4 linked regions of the Lepisosteus oculatus genome follow. The protein of the gene in region 1 purifies or fractionates together with the protein of each later gene. This does not show direct contact. Links are inferred from orthologs where the notes say so. Each region holds a gene or a part of one and is shown in the gene's direction. Other genes may lie near its edges. The genes, in order: si:ch211-140b10.6, polr2l, polr1e and uxt.

Region 1 (7,333 bases):
AGAAGAACAAGGCTGTGTGAGGGCTCCTCCTTTGCAGAGCAGATGACAGATATCTTTGCTGTAAGGTAGTCTGAGCACTGAACAGACCGACTCTCGGATGACTTCTTTCTCCTATAACAGCATTGTAGGCACCCAGACTGTTTCTAAAACTCCCGGTTTTAGAAACTTCTGTCGTATAGTTGTAAAAATACTTTTCTCATATATTTGTGGCATGCAGTGATGTGCTATTTGGAGAATGGAGAAAGGAATTTTACTAATATGTAACATTTGCTTAGCTCCCTTTTAGGAAGGGATTCAGTCCAATGTAGGGGCTTTCATTTTATAAGAAGCAGATTCCCCTTTCTCTTTTACAGCAGCTCAGCTGGGGGGCTAAGTTCTGCTAAAGCTTGTTGTCTGTTTTTTTTACAGTTACCTAACCGGTAGCATAGAAAAGTGTGTCCAAGAAGACAAGAAAAGCAGCTGCCTTTAAGCGTTGACACAAATAATTTGCTTACAAGGCAACCTGGGGTCAGGACACAACTTTTATATTATAATTCTATGATTATAATTTTACCCATCTTTATTTAAATATCCACACCCCCTATTTTATTACATTAGTGCACTTACTAAAATAATGGGATACCTGATACAAATGAAACCTTGTTTCTGATACTGACAATACCAATGTTTGCCAATGTTTTATCCCCAGTGTCGCAGCAGCATGACTCCCAGAGGTCTGTGGTGACAGGATAAACCTTCCTGTGCATCCAGGCGAGCAACAAACATTTCCTTTTCCAAATTTAGCATCTTGCTGTGATTTAACATATCACGCCCCCGGCTGACTGGAAAGCAATATTGGACATTAGCCTACTTACTTAATTTTCAATGATAAGTTTATTTTACTCAAAGGAATTCTTTTAGTTCCAGTCTATATTTTGCACTTTGTCAAAAATCCTTTTCACCATTCATAGTCAACTGTAGAGAAAGGAAGGTATTTTAAACACTTTTTGTTATGATATGGTTTCATTTTTTATGCCGATTCATTGGTCCGTTTCTGTAATATTATGCGTTTCAACTTGCGCTCGGTGACAGCTGCTACCCAACCTCTTGATTAGGACAATAAAGAGGAGCAAAGACACTCAGTGTACTTCGTAATCAATAATCATTAAGTCTAGCCATTTTTCACTTAGAAATTTGATTGCTTTCGCTTTCAGAAGGCAGCCTCTAAGAAATTAATTTAATAGGTTTAATGAAAATGAATAGCTGAATCCTGACTGCAGTCTGATGGGGGAAGAGTAGCACAGTAAACATAAATCTGGCTTCCAGATTCCAGCTATGTGGTTTGCGAGAGACAGCTACCATTAGGGCAATCCGGAGACAAGGAGTCAATCAATCCCACAGCATCAATAACTGATGCAATAAACTGTCTTTAATAGTAACGATGGACATTGATCTTCCAGATACCTTTATCCCCAACAACATATTGAGACAACAGAGGAAAAGCTGTGCTCAATAATGTGCTCTGCAGAAGAATCACAACAGGATCCTGGCTTTACATACTCTCCTAGACATTTTGCATTGTTCTTCTCCTTTCACTCAAGTGCTTTTCCATCTTTTGCAGAAACACACTCCTACGACGATTTTCAATGGAAACTGAACCCAATTTTTTAATAGCTAATAGTTCATCCTGGGAGATCAATGAACTGTAGCATAAAAAGAAGTTTTCTCAACATAAGGGATGTGAATAGAGCACCTGACAAAGGTGATTAATGATGAAGAGGACCTGACAAAGAGTGACTTAGAACTGACTGGAACGCGTGATACCACTTTCATTGCTATTAGAGATGATTTATTGCACTTCGGACCCCTTTGATGTACCACTGCGTACAGTGGGTCTGTGCAGGAAGCAGGATTACAAGACTCATGTCCTCATTAGCATTCTGAGCCCAGAACACTCTTGTATACGTTCCAGACCTCCAGCCCTCTCTCCTTGCCACCCCCTAGCAGCTCCAATGTCACCTGAGATCTCTTTGACCAGATAAAGCCGATGCAGGGAGCTACCCAGCCCGGCTGTTCAGACGGCCTGCCCTCAAAAAACTGCTCTGCCTTGATCGCTACAGGAGGCTTCAGGTGGAAAGGTCAGTGGAAAAGACACATGTTGGCAAAAGAGGAGTGCTGAGCTCCTAGAGCCAAAGAGCCTGACAAGTGTTCCACTGCTTGGCACAAGGTCACGCTGCAAAAATGCGTTTTGACTCGCACAAACTGGAGAAAAAAAAAAGCATTTGTTCCTCCAGAACAACAACCTATTGTGGAATGTTATGCTTATGGGTAGCAGCGGAGGTTCTTTCGCAGGGTGCTTCTTTGTGATAAAACAGCGTACCACGCCGTCAAAGCTCGGCTGTGACAGCAGCAAGGGCAAAGATTCTGAAATGAAACCAGCCTTGTATATCAACAGCCTGGTTTTCCTGGCTTGTTCTTCCCCTACATTATTGTGCAAGGTTCAACTCTGAGCGGAGTAAAGCAAGACTCAAGACAAACCACCCGGCCCAAGCTTCATGCCAGGCTCTTCAGAGAAACAGGCATGCAGTTTGAATTTAAACACCAGTTTGTGTAAGATCTGTTTTACAACTGTCACACAACCTACAAATTACTTTGCAGCTGTAGCTCGATGCCAGATAACTCCAGCGAGTCTCTCGTTCTCCCAGGGAATCTGTTACTTTTACTCTAAATCCACGCTGCATGTTGGAGGAATCCGGCGGAAATGGTCACTGGGTTTTCGTCTAGTGTTAGTGGACACATGGGGCGTCTGTCCACACGAACAGCCTCCTCACATGCCCACAGCTGCCTGTCCCCATAGAGACCACTGCCCTGCGGACACCAATCTGCCCTCTGCACCCCGAGGCTCCAATCCGACACAAGATGTCTGACCTCTGTCCGCGCTCCTCACCACCCTGTAGGACTGCGAGAGAGCGCAAACTGCCAGGACTAGGTCGCTAAATCTTTTAACACCACATCAGTGCAACTGTACAGAGCTTGAAATGAAAAATACCATTATATAAGCCAGAACATATATATATTGCATCTGGTGCACTGACCTGAAAAGCCTTGGAGTTCAATTCATCTTTTATAGTCTCTGTGCAAGAGCGTGCACACTATACACTGGGAGCACACTATATTTCAGAAAATCTAGGCCACACTGTGTGTAGCATGCAGGCTTGCATTTTACACCTCAGATAAATGACACAATTACCGCACATTTTAAAACACAGACAAATTATGACTGCTATAAGGTGTGCCCAGCGTGTGCTTTTCATGCATCATGAATTTCAAAGAACGCTGATCCTCCGAGCAATTCATTCGCGGCACCAGGCTGCGACTAGACAATGCCGTCGAAGTAGGGAAAGCGAAGTCCACCAACAGTTATTGTTCTCTAGGTGTTGCTTTGTTCACACAAAGTCGTTGTCATTCTCCTTGAAACTCAAGGGGTGCCCCCACCGTGGCTGGATGACAAGCAACCAACGCAGAGGAAAGCGTGCACTGAGTCCGCCGTCTCAGATCTGTCAGCAGGAATGCCAGTGAGGAACCGGGGAATTTGATACAGATGGCGTTTAACATTGAGCACTGAAATCGATATTTCGTCTAAATGTCTTTGTTACCTACTATGTTCGCTGCTCGTTTAACCTATATACTGTACGGCAACAAAGAACTGTACCTCAAATCATGGACACATCTTTGAAAGTGCTCACTGTTCATAGCAGACTGTACAGCTGTTTTCTACGGCTTGTCACCTAAGCGAAGCATCCATCACGTTCACTTAAAGAAAGGGGGTGTAAGTAACACATGCAGATCATGTATTATCAAATAATATCCGCCTATTGACAAGCAGTACAATTTACACTACACTCCCCAAGAAGAGTACGATGAGACACTTTGAAAAAATTCACGTTTTTTTTTCTGTCCTCCTGAACAAAGTAACTATTTCGAATCGTGGCGGAGGCGGCGACATTCTTATTTTAAAATTTTAAACGCATACCGGACGAACAAATGAATACCGCAGTACATTACCTATTACAGCGTGCCCACCACCCCCTCTTCGCCGCCGCCCTTCTGTGAACTCCAGCTCGGACCTGGGACAATTCTGCGGCTCAATCAAAACTCACTTGAGCCACACAGGGCACGACCGCACGGCGGACTGACGCCCTCGCCGCCTACCGGGGGAGGAGAACCGCCCCACCCGCCCTCCTGCCCAGAGCTCACCGGAGAGGGGCGGGGCCGGCGTGATGTCATGGTAGCAGGAAGCGCCCTGCACCCCCTCACAGCGCCTGACTCAAAACACAGCCGCCTCGGTGCTTTGCTAAGCGATCGCTCCCCGGAGCACCGCCTATTCATGGCTGCCGCACCAAGAAGTCGCTTTAAAAAATGATCTGAGCGCCACGTAGGCCAAAGAATGCTTTTCTGCGATCACTCAGTGCGATTTTAGCGCTGGCGACGCAGTACGGCATCTGCGAGGGCACCAATCGCGGAGGGGTCCTACTGGTCCTGGAAGCTCTTGTTTAGGAAGTTGGAGCAGACGGCGTTGAGTGCTGTCGTTTCGTTTCGTCTCGTCTCGTCTCGGCGTGTGGTATTTGAAATGGAGGAGGATCGAGAGCTGGAGAAGTGAGTACAGCGGTGGAAAATGTCGACAGATTTGAACATTAAATGTTGAAACAGCGTGCTGGTTTCGAAAGAGTTGGAGCCGCGGCCGCTGGTTGTCGGCTGAAGCAGGTATCACTGCGTACTGTGCTGATCACGGCATCAGTACCGCTTCCTTAATGTGCTGTAATTAATGCTTCCAATGACTTTAATATTAATACGAGTAATTCGAAATAATCAAAAATCATTAACGAAACACTTAGTGAACTATTGTACTTGCAGTTAGCGCTTTACCATATATCAGTTTGTTTACAACGGAATAAATTACTAGTAATACCACCCGAGAGCTTGTTAATGTTGCGTTCTTCAATTCTTAACACGTTGAATGAACTGGCTGATCTGTTACTGTGTTGTTGATCCTTGCTCATTTTATTATAATACTCTAATAAAATATTTTACTACAGGACTAACCATACCGATCGTCTGAACTTATTAAATACTCACGTTAAAAAAAACGTCCTGTGCATTGCTCAATAATTCAATGAATTTTCTATTACACGTGTAATAGGAGAACATACTAAAAGGTTGAGGTAAGCTGTTAGTAACTATACATGTCTGATATGTATCGCACACTACTATGATCACCGCTCGGAAGCTGGCGAAGATCAGACATTTTTTTACGTTGTCACCTATTATGGGTAAAACCACAGTTTTGTACAACATTAACAGTCAAAACTAATTAGACAGTTTCCATGGAATGAAACTAAGAACAGAAGTTCGTTACAGTCTTAAGAAGTGGAATTTGGAAGATCATTAATGATATGTAACAGATTTTTTTCGAATTATTTTTTCAGCAGTTTTAGTGCATTTTTTAAGAGAAGAATGAATTAATATAAAGCTGTAGAGAATGTAGTGTATATGTTCCTGAAAACCTGCTGCTGATGAAGTTTTTTCACTTTAGATCAATGGTGCTTCATATCATGTTTGCTGTACATGCTAATTTCAATTTGGCATGCAGCTGTGAATAGATTTCTCTTTTTTTTTAAGAAGGAATGAGTAAATTATATTATTATTCCATATGGCAATCCACCAAAACAAACTTAGAAAAGAACTGCTGACAAGAGCAGATGTAGCTGTCAGAGCACAGATTCTGCATTTCAAAGGGCAAAGATGTCAGGGCAAAAGCTCATTATGAATTTTTCATTGTAAATATAGTCCTTGTGGTGGTTTAGAAAACATTATAATTATAATTATCCCATATTCCTGACTTTTCGGTGTTTATACAGCTCAGTATAAAGTAGTTGACTGCTTGCCAGGCCAGAATGATTTAATACTGTAGTTGTTAAATGTTGCCACACTAGATTAAATGACATGTTTTCCTTAAACCTGATTCATAAGTAGGGGTGAGAGAGAATGTCTTGGGACTCCCAGAAGGAAGCTTTGTGTTCTGCTTTTCGGCTGTTTTTGCCACAGCAAGCACTTCATAGGTCAGTCTTGGAATTACAGCCCTCTAGCTTTGTGAAGCAAAATTTCAATTCATAAAACATTTCTACTTGTCAAATTAATTGTTACACATTGATTGCAGTATCGCAGTAAATACGGAATTGTGATTTGCTATTAAACCAGTTTAAATTAGTGTTAGGTGTGAATTTATTCAACGCTTTGACCCGCTGGCCAGTCAGTAGCACCATTCCTGATATTTGACAGTGGCCGTTTGTTTGACACATTTCCTGCTTCTACTCAATGAAAACCTGCCATCCAGCACCTAGTGCGCCATTTTTATTGGTCGAAGTTTAGATTTATTCTGAGAGGCGGCCATTTACACCTGCATGATAAGCTGGAGTGGTCTGGTAACACTGACGCCCTGTACAAGAAAGGTCAGAGCCAACTCTATTTTCTTAGGAGACTCAGGTCCTTTGGTGTGTGTGGAACACTGCTACACATTTTTTATGAATCAGTGGTGGCGGCGGCCATCTTCTACGCTGTGGTGTGCTGGGGCAGCAGCATCATGACAAAAGATGCAAATAGGCTCAATAAACTCATCAAGAAGGCTGGCACTGTGCTGGGGATGAGCCTTGACCCCATGGAGGTGATGGCTGAGAGGAGAATGCTGACCAAGCTCACAGCCATCATGAACAACACCTCTCGTCCTCTTCATGGGACTGTTACTGGGCAGCGGAGCACATTTAGCAATAGACTGCTCCAGCTACGGTGTTCAAGGGAACGTTTCCGCATGTCTTTCCTGTCTTTCCAGCTGTCAGGGTGTATAACGCTGCCTTAGGCTAGGACTGTTAGCCCTTCATTTGCTCCTCTATGGACAGCATGTTTGCTCCATTGTACGTTTTGGACAATCAGTCTGTATAAACCTATGCACATTTTGCACATATTTTATTGTTTTTACAGTGACTATGATCAGCACATTTTGCACACACCTATGTATTTATTTTTATTTATCTTGTTTGTCTTTTGTTTTATAACTATTCTGATGTCTGTTTTGCTTGTCTTGGGCTGGACTGCTGTAACACATCAATTTCCCTATGGGATTAATAAAGTATTATCTATCTATTTAGCATTTGTACTAATTCTGCACATTTCAGAATACTTTGCGGTGAAATATAAAATGTTTTGTGGCTGTGCTGGAGTGCAATCGCAATGCTTAAGGGTGGCAGCTCACCTAGCACTGTTCAGCCATAAACTCACCCCCGCTGCCAGTGAGGGCTGT
Region 2 (7,437 bases), on another chromosome or scaffold:
CCCGTTATGTCATGACATCACAGTGATCCCAGCACTGGAGTGACATAAGCAAGAGAACATCTCAACTCCACACTGTGGACAAACTGTCCCTTTCTCTACCCCATCTCTCTGTCTCTCCCACTGTCTCTGTCTCTCCCACTGTGTCTCTCTCTGTCTCTCTCACTGTGTCTCCATGTCTCTCTGTCTCTTTGTCTCTCCCAGTGTCTCTCTCTGTCTCTCCCACTGTGTGTCTCTCTGTCTCTCCCACTGTTTGTCTCTCTGTCTCTCCCACTGTGTGTCTCCATGTTTCTCTATCTCTTTGTCTCTCTCTGTCTCTCGCACTGTGTGTCTCTTTGTCTCTCGCACTGTGTGTCTCTTTGTCTCTCGCACTGTGTCTCCATGTCTCTCGCACTGTCTCTCTGTCTCTCCCACTGTGTGTCTCTCCCTGCGTTCAAACACATCACCATCTGTTGCTGTTTGCCTGAATGTCTGTGTCCTGCCCTGTTTCAGCTGTGTCCCTGGGCTTATCCTCTGCTCTTGCTGGGGCCCAGACCTGCAGGCCCTGTGATCGCTTGGCTCTCAAACACACAAAAGACTGTGCTGGACCTGTTTCCTGAATAAATACCACTCACTGTAGCTCTACACACACAGTGGGGTGCTGGCAGGGTTTGGGGTACAGTTTAAGAAGAGGGGGGTTCAGACTGGAGGACCCACCCTGCAAGTTAACACGACGAAATCCTCTATATTAGAAACAAAGGTTATTAGCATCACTAGATTAGGAGCTTCAATGGGCATTTCTCAATATTGTCTAAATGAATACTGTAATAAAGCTGGACTAGAGAGGGGATCTAGGCTTGTCTTTTGCGTTGTAAACAGAATAGGAGGCTCTTCTTTGCACAGAGGGTGGTGGGAGTGTGGAACAAGTTGCCCAGTTGTGCTGTTATAGCTGATGCCCTGCGTTCTCTTTGTCCAGTTTGAGGGTGTAATTCTGTAACCCCTGAGCAGCTGCCAGCACAGAGTGCTCGTTAGGGCTCTGAAGACTCGTTAATCCTAGCAAATCGTAGTTATGAATCATACTGTCCTCAGGGGGCCGATACTGACATCTACAACCATACTAGTCTGCAGATCCATGAAACCCCAAGGGGTCTGTTCAGCTGTGTTCCTGAGACCCCCCCCCCCAAAATGGCAGCTGGGGTCCCCGAGAGACCTGGCCGAGCTGGGGGGGGCTCAGGTCAGAGCAGCTGTCGGGCAGCCTGGTCCCCGGGTTCGAGCAGGCTCCAGTCAGGGATACGCCTCTGTGCAGCTGGTACCAGGGGGTTTGGGGTACAGGGGGTGCCAGTGTGGTGCCCCTGCAGCCTGCTGGTGGAGGGAGGGAGAATCTTCGCTTTTCCATCTTTACTCATTCATCTCCATAAACGCGAACTCAGTCCTGCGTCTTGGAAATCCAGCTCCCCAATAAACGCGCTGCTCTGAACCGCGGAGCCGAAGGATGAGCCCACCCCCGCGAGGGCGCCGGGCGGGGGAGGGTTACTGCGGCGTCAGGCGATACCGCTGACCCTTGTACTGGCGCTCCGTGAAGCAGCGGAGCGGACTGATAAGGGCTGATAACGGAGGCGAAGGTCTCTGGCGCAGCGCCGCGGTGACGGAGGTCACGGCGCGTCGGCTCGGTTGACAGCCGCGCCCGAGCGCTGGGCTGTGTCGTGCTGCCCCCTGCTGGCCACATCGGGTATCGCGCCCGTCCGGCCCACACTGGGGAACAGGGCGAAACGCACTGGGATTTTAAATAACCACAGAAAGTCAGGACCTTGGTTTAATGTCTCATCCGCACGAAGGCGCCTTTTTTTACAGTATAGTGTCCCCGTCACTACACTGGGGCAGCAGGGTGAGCGCCCCCTGCTGACCCCACTCACACCTCTTCCAGCAGCAGCCCCAGCTTTCCCGGGAGTCTCCCCTCCAGGTACTGGCCAGGCTCACACTGCTGGGCTGCAGGGGGCTGTGGCTTCAGCTGTGTTGCACTGACATATCAGATAGTCCATCCATCCCTCTTCCAGCTGGTTTATCCAGGACAGCGTGAGGGAGCCGGAGCCACACAGGGCACACACACACACATTCACAGGGCACGCACAGACACATTCACAGTCACACTCACAGGGCACACACACACACATTCACAGGGCACGCACACACACATTCACAGGGCACGCACAGACACAGACACACACACATTCACAGGGCACACACAGACACACACACACACTAACACATTCACAGGGCACACACATTCATAGGGCACACACATTCACAGGGCACGCACAGACACAGACACACACACATTCATAGGGCACACACATTCACAGACACACTCACAGGGCACACACACACACACATTCACAGACACACTCACATGGCACACACAGACACACACATTCACAGACACACTCACAGGGCACACACACACACATTCACAGAAACAACTCACATGGCACACACACAGACACACACACATTCACAGGGGCACACAGACTCACTCACACAGACTAACACAGACACACACAGACAAGACTCGCACACAAGGTAGATCTTAGTGGAATCCACGAGGAAGATCGAAACCTGTGGATTAATTGTACTGATGAGTTGCTGAGTGCTGAGTCACAGTAAATGTGGCCCGACCCCTTGACCCCTGACCCCTGACCCCTGACCCAGGGGAGGAGGAGGAGGAGGGAGGCCGGACAGCACAGCAGGGAACGATTCCTGATTACTGTCCTCTTCCCTCCCACACGTTCATCATCATCATCCTCAGAAACTTTTACAGTTTCGAGTCCGCCTTTAAGAGTTGCATCAAGAAAAAAAGGCAGTGACAAGACAGAGGAGAGAAGCCACAGTCTTCAAGGTCTTTAAGATGTCTGGGATGACCTGCAAGCTCTTCAGGAAGTCGGAAAAGGGCTGCCAGGCCAGAATCCACATTTGCAGCTGGGCCACATATGGAAAACGTCATTTCACACTTGTCGAAGAGCTTGCAGATCATGCCAGCCATCGGAAAGACCTCCACCTTCTCTTTACCCTTCAGTTAGCTCTTCCACACCTCCGATCTCCTTTCTTCTCCTCCTGTCTTCCTGTTTCTAGATCGTGGGTGGGTTTATACAGTTTGATTAGGTCCCACGTCTGTGAAGCCCTGCTGATTGGTCATTACTGTATACGGCACCATGTCATAATCTTTGCTTTTCCCGAAAGACCAATAAACAAATCAAAGATAAAAGTTGCATCTGAAGTGCTTTACAGTGGGTGTAAAAAAGCAGTTTTAAGACTAGCAAGTTACAAAGTACAGAAAGGAAAGCCGATCGCTGAGACGTGCAGCAGGAGTTGGAGCATGGAGAGGACAGATTGAAATGCTCTCAGGGCGGGAGACTGTCTGACATCCGTGGGGAGAGAATTCCACAGCTTTGGGGCGCAGCAGGAGAAGGCCCTGTCCCCCACAGAGTGTGGACGTCATTATAAATTCTTTAAATAATAATAATAATAATTGCTTACACTTATATATAGCGCTTTTCTGGCCCCTCCACTCAAAGCGCTTTACAGGTAATGGGGATCCCCTCCACCACCACCAGTGTGCAGCCCCACCTGGATGATGCGACGGCAGCCGTAGTGCGCCAGAACGCTCCCCACACACCAGCTATCAGTGGGGAGGAGAGCAGAGTAATGAAGCCAATTCATAGATGGGGGTTATTAGGAGGCCATGATTGGTAAGGGCCAGGGGGAAATTTGGCCAGGACACCACGGTAACATCCCTATTCTTTTCATGAAACACCCTGGGATTTTTAATGACCACAGAGAGTCAGGACCTTGGTTTTACGTCTCATCCGAAGGACTGAAGTGTCCCCGTCACTATACTGGGGCAGTAGGACCCACAGAGACCGCAGGGTGAGCGCCCCCTGCTGGCCCCACTAACACCTCTTCCAGCAGCAGCCTCAGCTTTCCCAGGAGTCTCCCATCCAGGTACTGGCCAGGCTCACACCAGCTGAGCTCCAGTGGGCTGCCAGTTGTGAGCTGCAGAGTGATATGGCCGTAGCGTGTAAATTCCAGGCATCGCTAACTGGGAGGCTAGAAGCTTTTGAATGAAATGCATTAACGAAAGTGAGGGAAATATTGTAACAACAGCAGCGGCAGGAGCAGTAATCCCGTTGATCGTGTCGCGCTCTTACAGCAGGGGAGAAAAAAGCTCGATGACCTCATGAAAGGATGAGAAATCCGCCGTCGACAATCGCAAAAGGAAAAATCTAGAACCCTGAGGACGAATTGACCCACCGGGACACCGTTGCTCAGAACGTACCAATATTGAGAAAATAGGGGTCAGCTAAGAATCGTATTATAATCCTGTTTCCTTATGAACCCAAAGTTTAATTTAGGCAATGGAAATATGGGATTCTATTAGAAAGGTCTTTAGATTAATAATAACCGACGATTGCGTCATTAATAGTACTGTGCCCATTAGTTCCTCTTTATAGCAGCGGCGCTGTGTGGTCTGTTCCGGCAGTGTGGTTGACGCGTGTGTGGACGGTGAGTGTCAATAATTCCGAGCTATTTATCTTTAATTCGTATAAACTGGGAGTTAGGACGCACTTATTTTAGGGTCTAGGTTATCGAGGGTCCTGCAGGGAGCTGTTCTGTCTAGTTTCAGTCGCTTTAACGAGCTTCAGCGTGGCTGGTTGGTGATGGAGGAGAAGCGGGAAGAGAGATCGCAGACATGCTGGATGATGAACAGTGTTTCCGCAGTGATAAGGGACGTGTTGCCAGGGTCGAGCTGTAAAACGGGGAGATCTGTGTTCAGGTCGTGTGCGAGATGAGCGTCTTGTCGAGACGCGGCGTCTCCGCATGGCGACGTGATCACGCGTGTGTGGAAATGTCTCCCGTGTGCCTCTGAGGGCAGGAATGGAGATACGGGGTGTCCGGCCGGAGAATGAGAATGCACCCCCCCGTGAGGCCTGCCCGTGAGAGCAGGGGCGAATGAAGGTGATCGGAGGCCCCTAGGCTACAGGTTGTGTAGACACCCCTGGTCATCCCAGTACCAGGAACAAGCGAGAGAAAATACTGTAATAATTCAGTGATGTGTTCAGAGTCAGGGCTGCCACCGCCGATTCACACGGAGTATGACGCGACACACACACACACACAACCATAGCCTGTACTGTAAGTACACCAATGCAACCAATAAATCAGCTTCACAGCCAATCAGCGAGCTGACAGCAGAAATCATGTGAGTTTTTTTATTTAGGCATAATCAGAACACAAATCGTGCAACAACAACACGATCAGCACAGCAGAGAACAGTGAGCACCCTGGGCGAGCGCATTTCTACAAGAACAACACCAGCAATCCCAGGACACAGTCAGTCAGTCAAGACACTGCATCCACGATGAGATACGAAAGATACAGGCCACAAACCAAACAGCAGGGCCCCCCAGAACACGTTCTTACCTGTAGAAGGTTTCCTGTCTTGTTTTCCTTGCAGCTCAGCTATGACCCGCAGTTGTTGCAGCACTGGCTGGGGTCGGGGTCTGGCTCAGGCCGACTAGACGACGATCCGGCAGACTTGAAATAACCAGTCCGTCTGGGGACTTTTTCAGTAGCGCCCCTCCTGCTGGGCTTTTCGCCGTTGGGCCCCGCTATCACGTTCTCTATCGCCCACGCAGCTGAGAGCCAGCGTACACTTGCACCCAAGGTGACCCGCAGGGCGACACCACAGTGATATCAACACCGCCGGAATACATTTGAACTGTGAAACCCATGGCGTCTGATGGAGCCTGCTCGCAGAATCTGTATGTTGTTCTGTACCCATAGAGTGGTAGGAGCTGGGAACTCCTGCTGAATTCGCATGCTAAACTCTACCCTTCAGGCTGGCTTGAGCACAGATGCTTCTCCCTCCCTGTGTTGAACTCCCACCTTCTGTACTAAACACCCTGGTGGGGAATGTTTACACTAAACTCGCTGATAAGAAAGGAATGTTTTAAGTGCTTTCTGAGTCCTGGAGTTTCTTGAGAAAGCTACCTCAAAGACAGGAGGGGAAGGGTGTAGAGAAAAGTGTATATAGGCGATGTAGAGTCATATCCCCCCTGAGCTGCGATAACTCCTGTGGTCCTTATTGTGGCTCCTTGTAGGCCTACAGTAAAGCTTGGCTGGACGAACGACACTTCAGGCTCGGATCTCTTGGTTTCTACACATCTATCCGATCATCGAGTCACAGGCTATTCAGTGGGGCCCACAGGTCCCTTACAAAATAATAATAACGTAACAAATTCGGGTTCTGGGGCTTGTGCCCTCACTGCCTGGGCTCGAACCCGGGTCTTGCTGGCTGAGCTAAAGAAGACCTTCCTCAGTTATGAGCAGGGGCGTGTTCGTTACAGTAACAATAATTCTGTCCAGTCAGGGGCCCCTGGTCAGTCTGGGCCTCTAGGCTACAGCCTATGCCAGCCTGTTCGTTAATCCGCCCCACTTGTGAGGGTGCACCCCCGCTCAGAGGCCTGGCTGTGAGGGTGCACCCCCACTCTGAGGCCTGGCTGTGAGGGTGCACCCCGCCCTGCAGGGGTTGCTCACAGGAGTCTCTGGGGTGACGTGCCCCCGCGGGCTCGGACAGAGGAATGGCGCTGGTCGTGTGGGCCGAGGGCCTGACCTCTCTGCTTGCCTCTGCAGGTGCCTGAGTCCCGCCTGAGTCCCGCCTGAGTCCCGCCTGAGTCCCGCCTGAGTCCCGCCTGAGTCCCGCCTGAGTCCCGCCTGAGTCCCGCCTGAGTCCCGCCTGAGTCCCGGTCTCCGCGGCGATGATCATCCCTGTGCGCTGCTTCACCTGCGGCAAGATCGTGGGGAACAAGTGGGAGGCGTACCTGGGGCTCCTGCAGGCGGAGTACACTGAGGGGTGAGTGTGTGTGTGTGTGTGTGTGTGAGAGAGAGAGTACACTGAGGGGGGAGTGTGTGTGTGTGAGAGAGAGTACACTGAGGGGGGAGTGTGTGTGTGTGTGAGAGAGAGAGTACACTGAGGGGGGAGTGTGTGTGTGTGTGTGTGAGAGAGAGAGTACACTGAGGGGGGAGTGTGTGTGTGTGTGTGAGAGAGAGAGTACACTGAGGGGGGAGTGTGTGTGAGAGAGAGAGAGAGAGTACACTGAGGGGTGAGTGTGTGTGTGTGTGTGTGAGAGAGAGAGTACACTGAGGGGGGAGTGTGTGTGTGTGAGAGAGAGAGTACACTGAGGGGGGAGTGTGTGTGTGTGTGTGTGAGAGAGAGAGTACACTGAGGGGGGAGTGTGTGTGTGTGTGTGAGAGAGAGAGTACACTGAGGGGGGAGTGTGTGTGTGTGAGAGAGAGAGTACACTGAGGGGGGAGTGTGTGTGTGTGTGTGTGAGAGAGAGAGTACACTGAGGGGGGAGTGTGTGTGTGTGTGTGAGAGAGAGAGTACACTGAGGGGGGAGTGTGTGT
Region 3 (7,589 bases), on another chromosome or scaffold:
CAAGAAATTGAAGATAACTTCCTGTAAGCGATTGTAGAGAATTTCCTTATTTAATACGTATGAGTATTTATTTGTTTTTATTTAAACAAGCTTTTCTTATGGTCTCTCTAGAGACGCAGTGGTTACAGTGAGTTATGCTCACTTTGTCAATCCTGTGCATTTCCTCAGAGCAAACAGTGACAACAAACCATACGATACAAGGGGAAACTATGAGCAAATACATTTAAAACTTAGAACAGGAGGCACTTCTTCACCCAGACACCAGGGAGAAATGTGGAACAAGCTACCAAACAGCCTTCTTTCTGAATCCAATACCCTGTCAGAAACAGCGGGGTGAGATCCTTGCATCTCCCATCAGGCTAAGTGAGCCTCCTGCCTACAAGTGGAAAATATTCAAGACCGTGATAACTCTATTCAAGACTGGGTGTCTTTCTAAGATCTTCCCAACAGAAACTCGAAAAACCCATCCAGGAAGTCACAAAAACTAAAACCCAAGAATCTCTGCGGCTGATGTCAGCGTTCATACCTCAATCATCAGAAAAAAACCTGAACTGGAGCTGGTTTCGTGGGAGCATAGCCAGGAAGGAATCGTTGCTCTCTAACGTCACCCATGAAAGGTTTGATCACCTGGACAATCCACAGGACTGCAGGAAGATACTCTGGACACTTATGTCAAAAGTACAACTTTCTGGCGAGACTGAAAAACAATCAGAAGCCGTCTTCCAACAGAAGAACCTCACCCCAACATGTCAAGCATGGTTTGGGGTTGCTTTGCTGCCTCGAGACCAGATGACCTGCCATCATTGACAAACAATGAAATCTGTGTTGTATCGGCATATTTTGGAGGAGATTGTGAGGCTGCCCATTCATCAGCTGCAGCTGTGCTGAAATCAGCTCATGCAACAGGACACCAATTCTGAACATACAAGCAGATCCATAACACCAACAGCAGAAGAAGAAGAAAAATAACCAAGTCAAAATCCTGGCCTAAACCCTACAGAAATGATATAGAAGGACCTGATGTAAACTGTTCATGCTCAGCTGTTCATGGAGGCTCCAAGCAGTTCTGTAAGGAAGAATGGGCCACATTTCTCACAGCTGATACGAGTGACAGATAAACAGTTACAGTACACATCCAGTGTAAGTTATTGCAAGTGAAGGAGGTGCCACCAGTTCCAAAGGTCATTTACTGTTAGAACATTTTGTAAATCACATAATCCAACTATATATTAATTAGACTATGTTCATCTTTCATTAAGACTTTTATGAAGAGTTAATTATGTTTTAGGTCTAATATATACAAGAATAGGGACAGACCTAGAGTTAGGCAGTGCATTGAAACAAAGCTTCTGGATTAATTGCAATTTGATTTATCCAGAACTAACTTTCCTTGATGCATAGCTAGTTCTGAGTTCAAACTGCCCTTTCCTATTCTATACAGTCCAGACAGTGCTACTGGTATCCACCAATACTGTAGCAGAGCTCTGAGGATGGAAATGAAGACTTCCTCTGCACAGCCAATTGAAAGATGAGAGCTTCATGAGCCGCACACTCTTGTACAAATTAATCTGACCAGAGAGAAAAAGCATTTGAAATATTTCAATATCTGCAGCATTTGTCTATGCAAAGTGACTGAAATTGAAATACACCTGGAGATATCTTGCCAAAGAAAGCTCACTCTTGTAGGTTTCCAAATTCATCTTTACAGCTTTCATCTTGCATTTTTGGTTTTACAAGAAAGAAAAAGTATGAAATATGTCGGATTTAACAGTAACACGCAAAGGTCTCATCACTAGTCCTGCACTCTGCAGATTTCTTAGTTCATTGCCTGTAAAAGGTTCCAGCTGCTTCAAGGATTTAGCTTTCTTGAGCAAACAACAATTTACAGTAATTCAGGTATTGTAATTAAGCCACAAACAAAAGAAAACACTGCTACTCTGCCCAGTGACAGGGAAAACAACAGCACTGCTGTATGGCTTATTTGCTTTGTATTTAAAACTGTTGTACAATTGTTGCACACTTGTATTATGCTCCACCTTTTATTAAATGGATAAATCTCCCTCATCAAAAAACACAAAGTACAACTAAAAGTACAAAAAAAAATACACTCAATTCTAAAAAAAAAACAGTAATTTCCGTTTGACACGAATGTGGTAGGGCTGCTTATCTTTCAACTACTGTAGACAGTAAACTCTTTCAGAGCGCCACGCTCACTGACAGACAGACTCCAGTGCCTCCGAATCCTCAGGACCAGGACAAACCACATCCCCTCAGCCAACAGGCATGAATCACTTAAAGGCCCAACACTCCGTGATCCACCATCTCTCGTCCCTCCCACCTCCCCTCGGAGAGGAGCAAACCAGAACAGGAAGTGGACCTGACTGGGCCTCTGGACACTTCCTAGCCAGTTTATATACTGATTAAGCAATAACGCAGTATACCCTCTTCCTGGGCTCCAGAATAGATACTGTCTCTCAAGGAAAGGCAGATCCTGAGGGCACCTTGGATATCAGGGAAAGTGTTTCACCACAAAAAACTGGATTGATGCTTCTCATGTTTCAGTGCTGTTCTGTATGGCTCCGAACATTTCTAATATTTTTCTTTATTTAGACAGATAAGAACAAACCCTCTCTACAACAATGACTGGACTACACAATCTCTACTGGTGAAATACCCTGCTTCGTGGGTATATAGGCGGTAAGAAGTAAGAATAAGCAGGAGCTCTTCTGCATGCTAGTTTCTCTACATTCCAACCCGCGCAAAGAAAACAGCTACTATACTCAAGAGCATGAATACAAAAAAAAACACAAAAGAAAGGATCTCCATTTGACATCATGTTTATCTTTCACATCTTAATTCGCCCATTTATGTAAACGACGGGATAAGAATTCACAGTGAATTTACTTCAAAAAGCTACACATCCACCAAATTACATTACAGTCACCCCCCCGGTCCAAGACAAGATGCACACATACGTCGAAAGTATGTTTTTGGCTCCACGTATAAAACACTTTTTGAAAACGACTCCCCCCCCCCAATGAGGGGCAAACGCAATCAAGTCCAAGTCTCTGAAACATCGCGTTGCTTTGTGACAACAAGAGCAACACCTTCATAGTCTGCCCCCTTCTCTCAAATGGAGTCAAAAGCATGCGAATGTGGTGTCAGGCCAGGAGCCCCGGGTTTCTGGGCGAGCAAGAGGCGCCCCAGAGCCCGGCGTAACCTCCGGGCTGCGTGTTGTCAATCAGTTCAGCCGAGAGAGGTTCATTCAAGGTAACGTCTGCCAAACGCAGCCTCGCCCCCCGAACTGTATATCGCTGTGAGATATCACCATGCACTCTGTAACGATATCGCACTACACTGAGGATGCATTACCAAAAAAATGTTAAATTCAGCAAAATCAGACTGGCGATCTCGAAGACTTGGCACAATTATTTTAAATAAAAAAAAGCACACATCGCCGTCGGCTGAGGATATGCAGCTACTTCTATTCGGTTATTCTTTTCCTATCGGACTTGTGGATCCATCACTTCGTGCAAGCGGGCATAGTTTGCAGATCGTATTAGATTAAATTGGTCCTGAAACGGCGAAATAATATGATTTGTTCCGATCAAATTCGTTCGGCTCGTAGATAAAGGTTAAACCCACAGAGGTATTTACTTCCAGATAAACAGAATACAGTAGCTGCCATTAATTGTCGGTATCTCCCTCATGCAGACGATATTATTCAGTTTTGTGTTTGTATTTATCCCTCCCCCCAGGAAAAAGGCTTTCGGCTCTGCATCCAGGAGCCTCGTCTGGCTCGTCTGTCTCCCTCTCTCTCTCTCCGTCTCACACAGGTCTGCTTTACATTATTTTCTGATCTGTGTCACTGGCCAAAAACAACAGCAGGAGGGGGAAAAAAAAGACCACACACACGTTACCTTTTACCCGAGATCAGAACAAAGCACACCCCTGGGAACATATCACATGAAGCCCAACTGAGAGGCCGGATAACAGAGGCGTTTTTTTTTTTCCCGTCCTGTGCGTCTTCAGATGTATTGAACACGGAGAGAAATCCTGTCCACGAAGGGGGTCTTCTCCTCCCTTTTCTTCGCTGTCTTGCAGGACCAGTCTGTCTGATGTCTGTGTTGTTAATCCAGCGCCTGCGTGCTGCCGTGCACTGGGGAGGCTTGCCCAGGATAAAACTGGGAATAGACTGGGAATCGCAAAGCCTACCTTGTGTGATTCAGGACGACGATATCCCCTCTAGCATGTACCCGGACTCGATGCCTCCGCTGTCCAAAAACGACATTTACAGCAACAACAACAAAAGTAGTTTCCCCGGAACAGGGGGGTTAACAGTCCGAGAAAGCGAGTGAGAGAGAGAGAGAGGGAAAAAAAAAGTTCCCCTCCTTTTCCTGCAAATCTGCAAAAACCGGAACGGGAAAGCAATATCCCAGACGAGTGACGTTTTCTGACTGCTGCACCGCAGCGCCGGGGGCCCGTTATTTCACTCCGGGGCGGCAGATTCTCACTGGCCGGAGAAACAAGCCGCGAAAACCCGGAGAGAGAGAGAGAAAAAAAAACCTACAGAGCACCTCGCTTGTTGTAGCTACAGCCCAAACGATTGAGAGCCGGGCTGCAACTCAGTAGGATAGGGGTTTATTTTTGTGGTGTTTCGTGTGTGTGTGTGTGTTTTTTGGTACGTTCCTGTCATGAATAAAAAAGACGCTGGACACCAGCAGCGTTTCGACTAAATTAGGAAACTGCTTAATATTCATGACCGGTTACTAAACTTTTTTAAAAATAAATATCCTCCACTTGATCAACGTCGTACGGTTCACACGTTTGTTGTTTTGGCTCTGTATTTGATCCGCTAAAGCCGGGACAACCGCCGTTTCTTCCTGAGGCTCAAAACTGTCACTACAGCACGACAGGGGAACCTAAATAAAAAAGTCAGAGGGATTGGAGTATTGATAAAAATGGAAAACGAGCAGCGATTTCCTGAATAAAACGAATCCTGTGATATACGATCCTACAAATCCCCAAGAAGATGCTCAACGAGGGTTTCAAATGTCAATGAAGTTTACGTTTCTGACTCCTCTGACCACCTTACTGTACCTCGTAATGTTTTGGCGTTTAGAAACTTCTGGACCGATTGATGGTGGACTGGGGTTTGTGAAGTCTGGCATGTTATTTTGTATCTGATGACTTTAGTGCTGTTGATATGATTTTTAAAAACCTGGTGCGAGTGTCAGAGAGACTAAGAAAATAACTCATTTGTTGTTATGCTGTTTTTTTTTGTTAATAGTAGCTGTGTATTGTACCCGTTGGGGAAAAAAAATACAGCTCCTTACTGGAACCCTATATGGAACTACATACGTTTATTATTTATTTGTGCTTTGAAACAACCGAACAAAAGCAGATGTTCTCTCTTCCCGGTATTGTACAAATCCCAACACATCCAACCGTATGGACCTGAAACGTGAATGAAAGGCCTTCCAAACGATGGCAAACAAAACGCCCGACTCAAGCCAGTTTGTCGCCGAGTGGGCGGTGTAGAGCCGGAGTTCGCCGCTAGGGGGCGCTGTCGGTTATAAGCGCCGCTGACGCCCGCCGGCTCAGAAGTCGCTTTCGGGTTCAGGGCCGAGCACAGAAATGGCAGCCTCCTATGTTTGGAAACACTGCAACGAGGAACGGGAGGAACGGGAGGAACGGCCGCCTGCCGCAATAGGTATACCGCGAATTGCTTCAAAAACGGAGACAGTCCGCCTCTTCCAGTTTATACCGGCTGTAAAAAAAAAATCGTATTCGTAAATATATTTTCTCTGCTGCAATGTTGGTCGTACACGTGGTAGTAAAACGACTGTGAGTGAAGTCAGTGCACGTTTTACACTTAAGCTGATTTTGGATAAACGTAATTTATGATTAAACCTTCTCAATAAGTTTAATTTAATTTTAAAATTCAAGGAGTTCCAGCTCTGGTTGTCTAGGTGTATAATCCTGAAGGTCTTTGGTTTCTAGATCGATACTAAAGAAAACGATAGATTATAGTGTAGACGATTATAGTGTAAACCTGGAGTCTTTCTGACCGTTGTGGTGATTGTCTTAGTCTGAGAGACCGAAATAATGCCTTGCTGAGTTTTTTTACATTCTTAGTTAATCATAGCTGGTTCCCACGTCTTCTTCTGCAGTTCAGTTTTCCAATGGCAAACTCAGAAACGCCGACCTGGTCGACTTCACGTTATACAGAAACACTGATCTCAGCAATCCAAGAAAGAAGAACAGGCGCATTCTGGTACGTTTAAATGTAGTTGCAGATTTAAGTATCGGCCCACTTTAATCTAACAACTGCATTTTTATTGTCATTGTTGTCCGCTAATATGTAAGTAGTTGAATTGCTTAATTAAACCCTTTAAACCCTGTTGTGCTGTTCAGTATGTGCATGTTCTTGAGTACATTTTCGAGTAAAAAAGCAAAACTCCATAGTTTCCACAAATAAACTGCTTCCACCCGGTATAAATATATACAAACTGAAATCGGAAATGATTTGATAGCAAAATGGTTTGCAGGGGCCATTCTCTATAACCAATTTTGGAATTTTGTTAACGGCTAAAAAAATGTAAATTCCCTTGTCACTGTGATCCGGTCTTGTATTAAGCAGTTATTGAAAAATGACGAATAGATGAAGGTTAATATTAGATTGGTATCCCGATGACTCAGGTTCTGTCTCCTGTGTTTTGTCACAGGCTGCAGAAACAGACAGGCTCTGCTACGTTGGGAATAATTATGGAGCTGAAGCCTTGAAATGTAACACACTTTGCAAGTAAGTCTTTGCAGGTGGAAGATGTTTCCCTAAAGCTTGCTGATGAAATTTCAGAAAATGTCCCGGATCTGAAAAGTAATTTCTACGGATGTATACATATGTGCTTCTTGACCAGTGAAGAACTGCACTCTGAGAGAATGCAATCATGAAGTCAACAAAAGTTGAGAGAAGCTTTTTCTCTACACAGTTCTGTTGGGGTCATGTGACCAAACACTGTACCTGTGTCCTTTCGCTACACTAACGCATGATGTATTCATTCCCCAGGTACTATGTGGGTGTTCTGGACAAAAAAACCAGGACAATGAATGTGCACAATGTGGAGCTGTTCAGTATGCAGCCAGTAATTCCAGGTATGCTGATGTCTCCAAATCAGTTGGGTAGTGCACCTAGTTTGCTAAAACGCTTATTTTCCCATATGACATACTGCAAATCTTTAATGTTGTGTCTAAACCTCTAACGTTTAAAATCCATGTAGTTATCGATGGCAGCGGGGACAGATTTTGCTGCCTTAACAGCCTTTTTCTTAGACATTGGAGTTGTCTATTCTGTATTTGGAAAACTAATGCGTATCCTTCTGATTTATCAAAAATACTTACATGCTTGCATGCATATTTGTAGGTGAAACTGTAACTGAAGTTGACGCCTTGGAGCACAAGAATAAGTCCTACAGAGAAAAGGTACTGTAGTGTTTAAAGTGATCTGATCTCTTGATACTCGACTGCTTCTAATGCTTTGTGAATGGGGGAAGCAAGGTTGTATTTAGTTTCTTCTCAAGATATTCACT
Region 4 (7,794 bases), on another chromosome or scaffold:
TATTTATATATATATAATATATTGTAACGCATACGGCCACCGTTGCAGGTTGTGCAAGCCGACTTACCAGCGTGGTGACGTCACCGCCCTTCCCTGTGAATAGCAGAGACCGCAGCCGCCGGGCTGATGGGAGATTTCCCTTTAGCTCGAGAGGCTGGGTCCCTGTTGAGTGATGCCAGAGGCCCGGGTTCGAGTCCCCAGCGGTGGGGAGCCGACCTGAGGCGGCAGTGGCAAGGGCGCATACCCACATGAACCCGAGAGCGCTACAATATATTATTCATCCTGCGACACCGTACGGTATAAAGAGGTTTGGCAAATGACATGACATGATGGATATTATTCAGGATAAAAAAAACACCATCTGCTCTTTTCATTTTCGGATTCAACCCATCCAGTCTTTGGCTTTTCAGGAGACCTGGAAGAAAATTTAAGGGGGGGGGGGGAGAGAATTCTCTCACCTTGAACGCCTTGTTAGGGTCAGGGGGCATCGCCATGGCAGCTCCTGTCATGTGATCCTGCATGATGCGGGACTGGTCAGCAGCTGGAAGGGACATTGAAGGGTGCAGCTTAGACTGAGGTCAGAAAGCACAGAGTCTCTCAACAAATTTTAAAATCCATCAACACGGGATTCTCTTGCCCTTCAAGAAAACACTCCCATGGTCCAAAGACATGCTGGAAGGTGAATTGACTTCTGGGAAACTGTCACTAGCTGTATGTGTGCATGTCTGTGCTCTGTGATGGACTGGCACCATGTCTAGGATTTATCTTGCTTTGCACCCTCTGATAGCCTGGATAAGCACCAGCTCCCCCACGACCCTGAACTGGATAAAGCTGTTGGTAAATGAATGGATGGATGGATGGATGGATAATGTAACCAACCAGCTCCACCAAAGGAGCAAACATTTCAATTGTCGTGCTTGAGTGCCTCCTTTGCATTGGCGCTGAGCAGTTATTTTTCATCTGCTCTCGAGACAGAAAGAGCTCTGCAGCTATCTCTCCTATTAGTGAGCAGACAAGGCACGCTGCTCTGTGGACTAGTCAGCGGCCGGAGAGAACAGAGAAACAGGGGTGCCTTGGATCCAGCTCTGACTTGCTCACCATTGTCATGACCCAGGATCAGGTTGTACATGCTGCGCAGCCCAAAGACATTCAGAAAATACCAGGACGCCGAGCTCACCCTACACAGAAAAAGATGGGGACAATCAATCAATCAATCAATTCTATTCTTATACAGCGCCTTTCAATAGAGAGCTCTCTCATAGCACTTTACGTAAAAGACACAATACAAAATACAGTAGCAGAATATACAATAAAAATAGATATAAGTGAGAAATTGAGGATTTAGATTTAGAAAAGTCAACAGAAGCTGCATTTTCAACTGGGTCAGGAAGGGAACTTGGAAGACGAGGGGCTGCCTCTCCAAAGGCTGGGTCCCCCGACGCACGGCGTGGTGTCCTGGGGGCGTTACGGGACCCGGGACCAGCCGAGCGAAGGACAGGCACGAGGCTCACAGCCAGAGCAGAACGAACAGCGCGAACAAGGCCAGGGCAGCCGTGGGCCTGGAGGGGGCGAGAGGGCAGACCGGTGCGAAGCCGTACCAGGAAGCGTCCAGCGAGAGCAGCTCGATCCCGCGCTGCAGCATGGGCTTGAACCTCAGGGTCAGGGGGAAGGGCACCTTGGCTGTGCGGAGAGAGAGAAGACAGGGGGATCAGTGGGCAGTAGGCAGGCTAGACCTTCAGGCTGCACACAGCTGGGCTCATGTCCCAGCCCCTGACTGCAGAGCTCAAGCCCTTCACAGGCGGAAACAAAACTCCTCCTGGGGTAACTCCTTTCTCTCTATCACTGCCACCCCCGACTTGTCCAGCAGTGTATCGCTTGAGTTGGACTCAGCCATGAAACAAAATTCCCCCCAGAGGATAATAAAGCTTGAATTGATTGAATTGCAAGTGGACTGCTAGGGAAATACCTTGATCTTTTTCCAGCAGGGGTCACATTCATTTGCATTCATTCATTTCTTCTGAAAGACCAACAGAACAGTCACTTACTGGTGACGAACCCGGAGAAAGCCCAGTTGATCCAGCCGCCAATCACGATCATGGGGAGGACGTTGGTCACGTTGCCCTTCATCATGTCCGTCAGCATGCTGGTATCTGCAAAAGACCAGTCAGAGGCTGGAGCTGACACACCAGGTGAGAGGTAACCCCAACACCCCAAAACTAAACAGCAGCAAATCCCCATAACTCTTCCCACTGTACGATGCCAAGTTCGAACTCCTGTAAATAGCGCTCAGGACAGGGGGCGTGCAGAGTGTGAGGTTCCCCGGTTTGCTTCAATTCTCTAGTATTTTGAGAATGAAAGCACCTCAACCCCCCACCACCACGAACGAAACGGGACGGTTCCTCTTTCTCACCTGTCATGGGGTTTTTAGGAACAACCTTCCTCTTGGTTTTCTTGAAGAACCCCGTCTCGGGATCGTTGAAGTAGTGCTTCCGCATCGCAAAGGACTGAAGAGAAAAGCGTTTGGAGAGCATCACGCCTAGAGCTCCGCCGGCACCCCGTCACGCAGAACACGAGGCGCGCGCGTCGCGAGACGAGGGCAGCCTCGCTCCCCAGACAGCGGGCAGCTCCGCCACATCTGGAGACCCAGTCCAGAGACCCACACCGTCTTGATTCCAGAGAGGAGCACCATCTCTGCTGAAACCTTCTCAGTGCTCTGATCATTGATCCACACAGCTGAGGATAACCAACCGATTCCTGACACAGTGGAGCTCACGGCATTTCTCACGACCAGTTCAGTTGAAGCCAAGCACAGAAAGCGTAGCTCACATCAGCTCTTAACCTGAGAGTCGGAAGCACCCAGCACAAATCCAGTATGAAGGACAAAACTATTTTCATTAGGATGCTCCAGAGTCTCGGAAAGCCCAGGATAACATTCTTACCTGCTTGGGGATGTATTTCCCATTCTCTCTCAAAATACGGCTTCTGAGCAACACTTGGCTGCAAAAACAGATATAACAAGTTACTTGCGGTAATATTTACATTGATATTTACATTGCGTCCTACTTTAATTCTTTTATCTAAGCTTAGTGCTGGCTTGGTACGCACAGGGCTCTACCAGAGGGCTGGGCAGTGCCCTGGGCTATGACACAGAGCTTCCTGTTTCCTCTGCTCTTTTTACATTCGGGGCCACTTCTGCACAACTGTTTCAGTCGATCAGAGCCTGGTCACATGCCACAAAACTAATCTCAATCTCTGTACTAGCCCAGCTGCAGATCACTTGGTGCTGTGCCAATCTTTCCCATATAACTTAAGGCCTATAGACACCTTCTGCACAGGTAATATTTCCCCGCAGCTAATAAGCTAAAATTGATCTTACAGTTGATGTATTTCCAACACTTCACCTGCAGAATAACTTCGATATGAGACCATACACTGATTTGTCAATTTCAAGTTGATTGTGAAATCTCCCACCAACATCTACGAACAACGATTGTTTAAACTCCTGCAGCATTTCACGATTCTGCCCCCGGAAAGATGAAATCCGCTGGGCTCACCTGTCGGACACCTGCTGCAGGTCCACTTTCTTGTCACTGTGCAGCAGCTGGGTGACGTAGTGTCGGATGACCCCCACGAAGAAGGTGACGAAGACGATGGGCAGCACGACCCAGACTCGGATACTGGAGTCCAGCAGCAGCTCCGGACCGGCCATGGCGACTCGCTTGTGTCAACACACCCTGAAAACGAGCCCCGGCAGGTGAAGGACAGCCCGAACACTTCACACCACAAACACACTGAAGTTCGTTTTTTGGGTGCACATTATCCTACAAGAAGTAGGCCACAGAACAGTAGACCGCGATAATAATACCCAACGATATGAGAAACTTCAGAAAACACTTGGATATCCTCGCGTCCGTAAAAACAACACGGTACACGGTAAAAAAAAAAAAAACGATGACAAGGAGATTCAACTTAACAACCGGGTTTGGCACTTCAACCAGATGAGTATTGTATTTTCTAGCGTCGCTTATTAGGTCTTTTAGAAGTTTGACACTTTTCTTTTCAGTGACTTCTGAGCTGAGGACGTTGTTCGGTGGGCACCGAATTTAACACGAACTCCCCACAACAACAACAAAAAACGAAGGAGATCAGAGCAAATCTCCCGTCCAGCTCTTCACAGGAGCTACGAGTGCGAAACTGTGAAACTGTCCCAGCTGCTGCCGAAAACCGCTCCGACACTCGCCTGTTTTCTATTGGGTTACTCGGGACACTGCCAGAGACGTCTATATGTACCGAGGCCTGTGTCGAAATAATACCAGAGGTTTTGTTAATTAAAAAAACGCCACCCATTAAACACCTGCAGCGATAGAGCCAGCCGGGTCTCCGCGACCACAGACCGGGGCTCGGTTCGGTATCCCCGCTCCGCCCTCGGCGCTGGAAATAAACATTTAGTTATAATTTCCCCCCACCGAAAGCAATTTTAATCCCACTTTATTCAGTATTGATAAGGACCTCGAAAAACACCCGTGTCGTGTGAGTGTGTAGGTAGGTACCTGTGAACCCTGAAAGGACTTCTCCACATGTCCAGAATTAAAAATAAGGACGGGAATTTAAACTTTGACCCCGGCGTCAGTAACGCAAATTAATAAATTCACGTATAAGACACATATATTTTTTTAAAAAAAACGCTCATAGATAACGAACCGTATTTGTTTTCCAAGTCAATGTATGGATTTATTTACACCACATTTAAAAAACACAAAATGACATTAAAACGTCTTGACATTTAACCCGGAAGCCCATGAGTGACGCGTGCAGTGGATGAAAACATATGATGTATGAATTTGCTCCCCTTGATTCTCACGATCTCAGTAATCGATGAGGTTTATATACTTTTCCGCCTCTTGAAAAACTATTTTACACCGTGTGTCACATCTGCTTTTCTATGTTTTTTTGCATTAGCAGCAGTTCAATAAGCAGGGGACGTGGTTTATCTGGGTGACATTCAAAGCGAGATTAATTCTGCAAGGAGAGACATGCCTAACGAAAACGTGGCGTTGGGAATATATCGTTGAGCACCGAGAAATGATCTGTTTGTATCGGGTTTGATTACGATAGGTGTGTAAATCGGGCGAGGGGTGATGTCAGTGTTTGTTTCATTTTCACACCGTGCGTCTCTCCTACAGGCTCCTGCCCTGCTGAGACTATACGATGACTCCGGGCGGCAGGCGGAAAGTTGAAGAAAAAGTCTCTGCATACGAGACGTTTATAAACGAGGTCTTGAAGCGAGATTTGCAGTAAGTGTGTGGGGGGCCGAAGAGTGGAATTTTGTTTCTGTTTTTATAGTCTAAATGCAGGTTCTAATCCCAATGTTTTACCTGTCGCAGCTGTAGTTGTCCGGTATATAGTGCAAAACTGAAGCTGTGTGCTTCACCAGATTGGATAAACTGCTGTCCTGTCTCCGTGATCCCCCCCCTCCCCCCAAAAAAAAATCACAGTTTGCCTTTTGTTCTCTAGCTCAAGGCACTCCCCCAGATGTACAGCTGTCTGATGCATTTCAGGAAATTGTGAGCTCTTGTGTAAATTCTGCTGAGAGAGGGGGAGAGTTTTCTTTTAATAAAGAAGATACTTTATTGATCCCGTGAGGGAGATTGCAGTGCAACAGCAGTTTAGCACAGTCAACAGAGCACAGTGTAATGCAATAATACAACAATACAATACAGTCGGTACACTCAGTGAGAAGTGCACTAAAAAAAGTTGCTCACAGTACAGAATATACAAAAAACAGAAAGTTGTATTGCACATTATAAATATAAAAATATATTGCACAAGCCCCTAGATATATTGCAGAAAAAAACAGTTGTAAACGGGAAAAACCAGATGTAAGCAGAGAGTTTAATGTTTCGTCCATAAGCACGTTAAAGTCAATGTTGGCCCTGCCCAGACACACAGTGGATGAGTTGTACAGAAGTCCTCACCTTCATGCAGATATTGTCAACAGGACAGCACAGACACCCGGGGTGCTGGCTGGGACTCGGGAGCCTGTAGCTTGGAAAGATGAAGGGATTTAATCTGTCGCACCCGGAGCCCAGAGACTCGCGGTCTCCCGTCCCGCGACAGACCGAGGTCACCTGCGGCTCACGGCTGTTTCTGGCTGCTCAGCCGACGCCTGGGTCCGGTTTTTGGGGGGCGGGGAGGAGGAGGTGCAGATGCCCGAACTCAAAGTAAAAACACCCTGAACATCGTTTTCATCTCTCGGCCATTGGGGTTACCTGGCGAGTGTTGTCGCCGTGTCGGCGCCGTGACTACTGTCTGTCTGTTACTGTGCCAGAACGGTGCTGGAGCAGAGAGATGAGATCTACGAGAAGATCGCCCAGTATTTGCAGCTGAAGAACGTGATTGAAAGCCTTCAGGTACAGCACTCGCCTGCCTCTCACTTTACAGTGTGGGTTATATTGTAGGACAGTAGTTATACATTAGGGAAGTTTGAAATCGTGAAATGCAGTGTTTACATATATACTCGGAATGATGTGAACTGGTATCTCAATACCTATCTCTTTAATTTCATGCTATTATTTTATTTCCATTGTAGCGATAGTGTCCGCTAATAATGTGCTATGTGCCAATAGGTGTCACATAGCACACCTCGGATTTTGGAGCAGTTTTATTAAAACATAAATCACTGACATAAAGAACTATAGATGTATGATTAGATGTACATATATATATATATTCTCACAGCTGTGATTTTTGTTTCGAGTAATTTGGTGAATTAGGTTGTTTTTTCTTACTCTTAAACCAGTCTCCCTATTCCAGGAATCGGGAAGCAAGGAGCTTAAAACGGATGTGGACCTGGGCTGTAATTTTTATGTCCAGGCTCATGTGTAAGTACAGCGGAGATGTTTTGAGTCTTCCGTCTTGATTCCTGGCCTGGCTTCTTAACCACCGGTTTTTACATCTGTTAAGGAAGTGGGTTCTTCAAAATAAAACGGATTTCTGGTATTGAAGTGGTATAGACTTTTTTTGTCAATATTTCCTGTGAGAGAACAGGAACGTGCCTTCAGGAGGAGCACTCTGTTATCAGCTGGCTCAGTGGTCAGGGATCTGCACTTGCAAGTGGAGGGTTGCGGGTTCGAATCCCAGGTGGGGACACTGCTGTTGTGCCCTTGAGCGTGGTACTTCGCTTGGACCCCCTTCAGGGAAGCACCCAGCTGTGCAAATATACATGGGTCACGTTGGATAAAGGTGTCTGCCAAAGTATTGATTGCTAAATGAATAATTGGTTCGCTTACCACGTGTCTGCTGTAGTTGACACACTCAGCTTTGCCTTGTTTCTATGACCAGTGAGGATCCTTCCAAGATCTTCGTTGCCGTGGGATTCGGGTTCTTTGTGGAGTTCACGCTGCCCGAAGCCCTGAAGTTTATAGAGAGGAAGACCAGCCAGCTGACAGAGTAAGACTCGGGGAGGGGAGGGGGCAGCAGTCTGCTCTGCTGTGCTCTTACCGGCTGTGATCAGTTCAGCCCAGGATCTGTGAGCTTTCACCTGGACTCTTTCTGAATTGTTCTGTGCATTGAATTTGTCTTGCTCTTGTAAAATGTATTGTTTTTATTAGATTTTTATAGGCATATCAGAGAGCTGGTTTAATTGCATGATAAAGAGGTGAAAGTTACATTTTCATGCTTCTATTGAGAATAAATAATTAAATGAACGACAATAAGTTAAATTAATTAATTTCTTGTCCTAAAATATATTCTGTTGTACTGACTTAGCATGGGATTCACTGCATTTCAACTGTT

Evidence for each region.
Region 2: the proteins of si:ch211-140b10.6 (region 1) and polr2l purify together in Homo sapiens (affinity purification with mass spectrometry; 4 studies listed by BioGRID and IntAct, with this or other methods). This does not show direct contact. The link is inferred for Lepisosteus oculatus from reciprocal best matches to the Homo sapiens genes POLR1D and POLR2L.
Region 3: the proteins of si:ch211-140b10.6 (region 1) and polr1e purify together in Homo sapiens (affinity purification with mass spectrometry; 3 studies listed by BioGRID and IntAct, with this or other methods). This does not show direct contact. The link is inferred for Lepisosteus oculatus from reciprocal best matches to the Homo sapiens genes POLR1D and POLR1E.
Region 4: the proteins of si:ch211-140b10.6 (region 1) and uxt purify together in Homo sapiens (affinity purification with mass spectrometry; 3 studies listed by BioGRID and IntAct, with this or other methods). This does not show direct contact. The link is inferred for Lepisosteus oculatus from reciprocal best matches to the Homo sapiens genes POLR1D and UXT.

Annotation. Positions count from the first base shown.
Region 1 is NC_090700.1:5,625,078-5,632,410, forward strand, and holds the start of si:ch211-140b10.6 (protein POLR1D), read left to right. Parts: upstream 1-4,318; 5' UTR 4,319-4,609; coding exon 4,610-4,635; intron 4,636-7,333.
Region 2 is NC_090716.1:896,246-903,682, reverse strand, and holds the start of polr2l (DNA-directed RNA polymerases I, II, and III subunit RPABC5), read left to right. Parts: upstream 1-4,435; 5' UTR 4,436-4,533; intron 4,534-6,663; 5' UTR 6,664-6,788; coding exon 6,789-6,883; intron 6,884-7,437. UniProt on the Homo sapiens protein: DNA-dependent RNA polymerase catalyzes the transcription of DNA into RNA using the four ribonucleoside triphosphates as substrates.
Region 3 is NC_090696.1:67,217,337-67,224,925, forward strand, and holds the start of polr1e (DNA-directed RNA polymerase I subunit RPA49), read left to right. Parts: upstream 1-4,578; 5' UTR 4,579-5,637; coding exon 5,638-5,713; intron 5,714-6,173; coding exon 6,174-6,277; intron 6,278-6,728; coding exon 6,729-6,805; intron 6,806-7,069; coding exon 7,070-7,155; intron 7,156-7,423; coding exon 7,424-7,482; intron 7,483-7,589. UniProt on the Homo sapiens protein: Component of RNA polymerase I (Pol I), a DNA-dependent RNA polymerase which synthesizes ribosomal RNA precursors using the four ribonucleoside triphosphates as substrates.
Region 4 is NC_090697.1:76,549,211-76,557,004, reverse strand, and holds the start of uxt (protein UXT), read left to right. Parts: upstream 1-4,788; 5' UTR 4,789-4,833; exon of another isoform or gene 4,834-4,880; intron 4,881-5,183; 5' UTR 5,184-5,208; coding exon 5,209-5,294; intron 5,295-6,328; coding exon 6,329-6,410; intron 6,411-6,813; coding exon 6,814-6,881; intron 6,882-7,341; coding exon 7,342-7,449; intron 7,450-7,794. Other genes in the region: ER membrane protein complex subunit 3, read right to left, coding at 459-541, 1,099-1,178, 1,599-1,680, 2,046-2,150, 2,411-2,504, 2,940-2,997, 3,555-3,709. UniProt on the Homo sapiens protein: Involved in gene transcription regulation. Acts in concert with the corepressor URI1 to regulate androgen receptor AR-mediated transcription. Together with URI1, associates with chromatin to the NKX3-1 promoter region.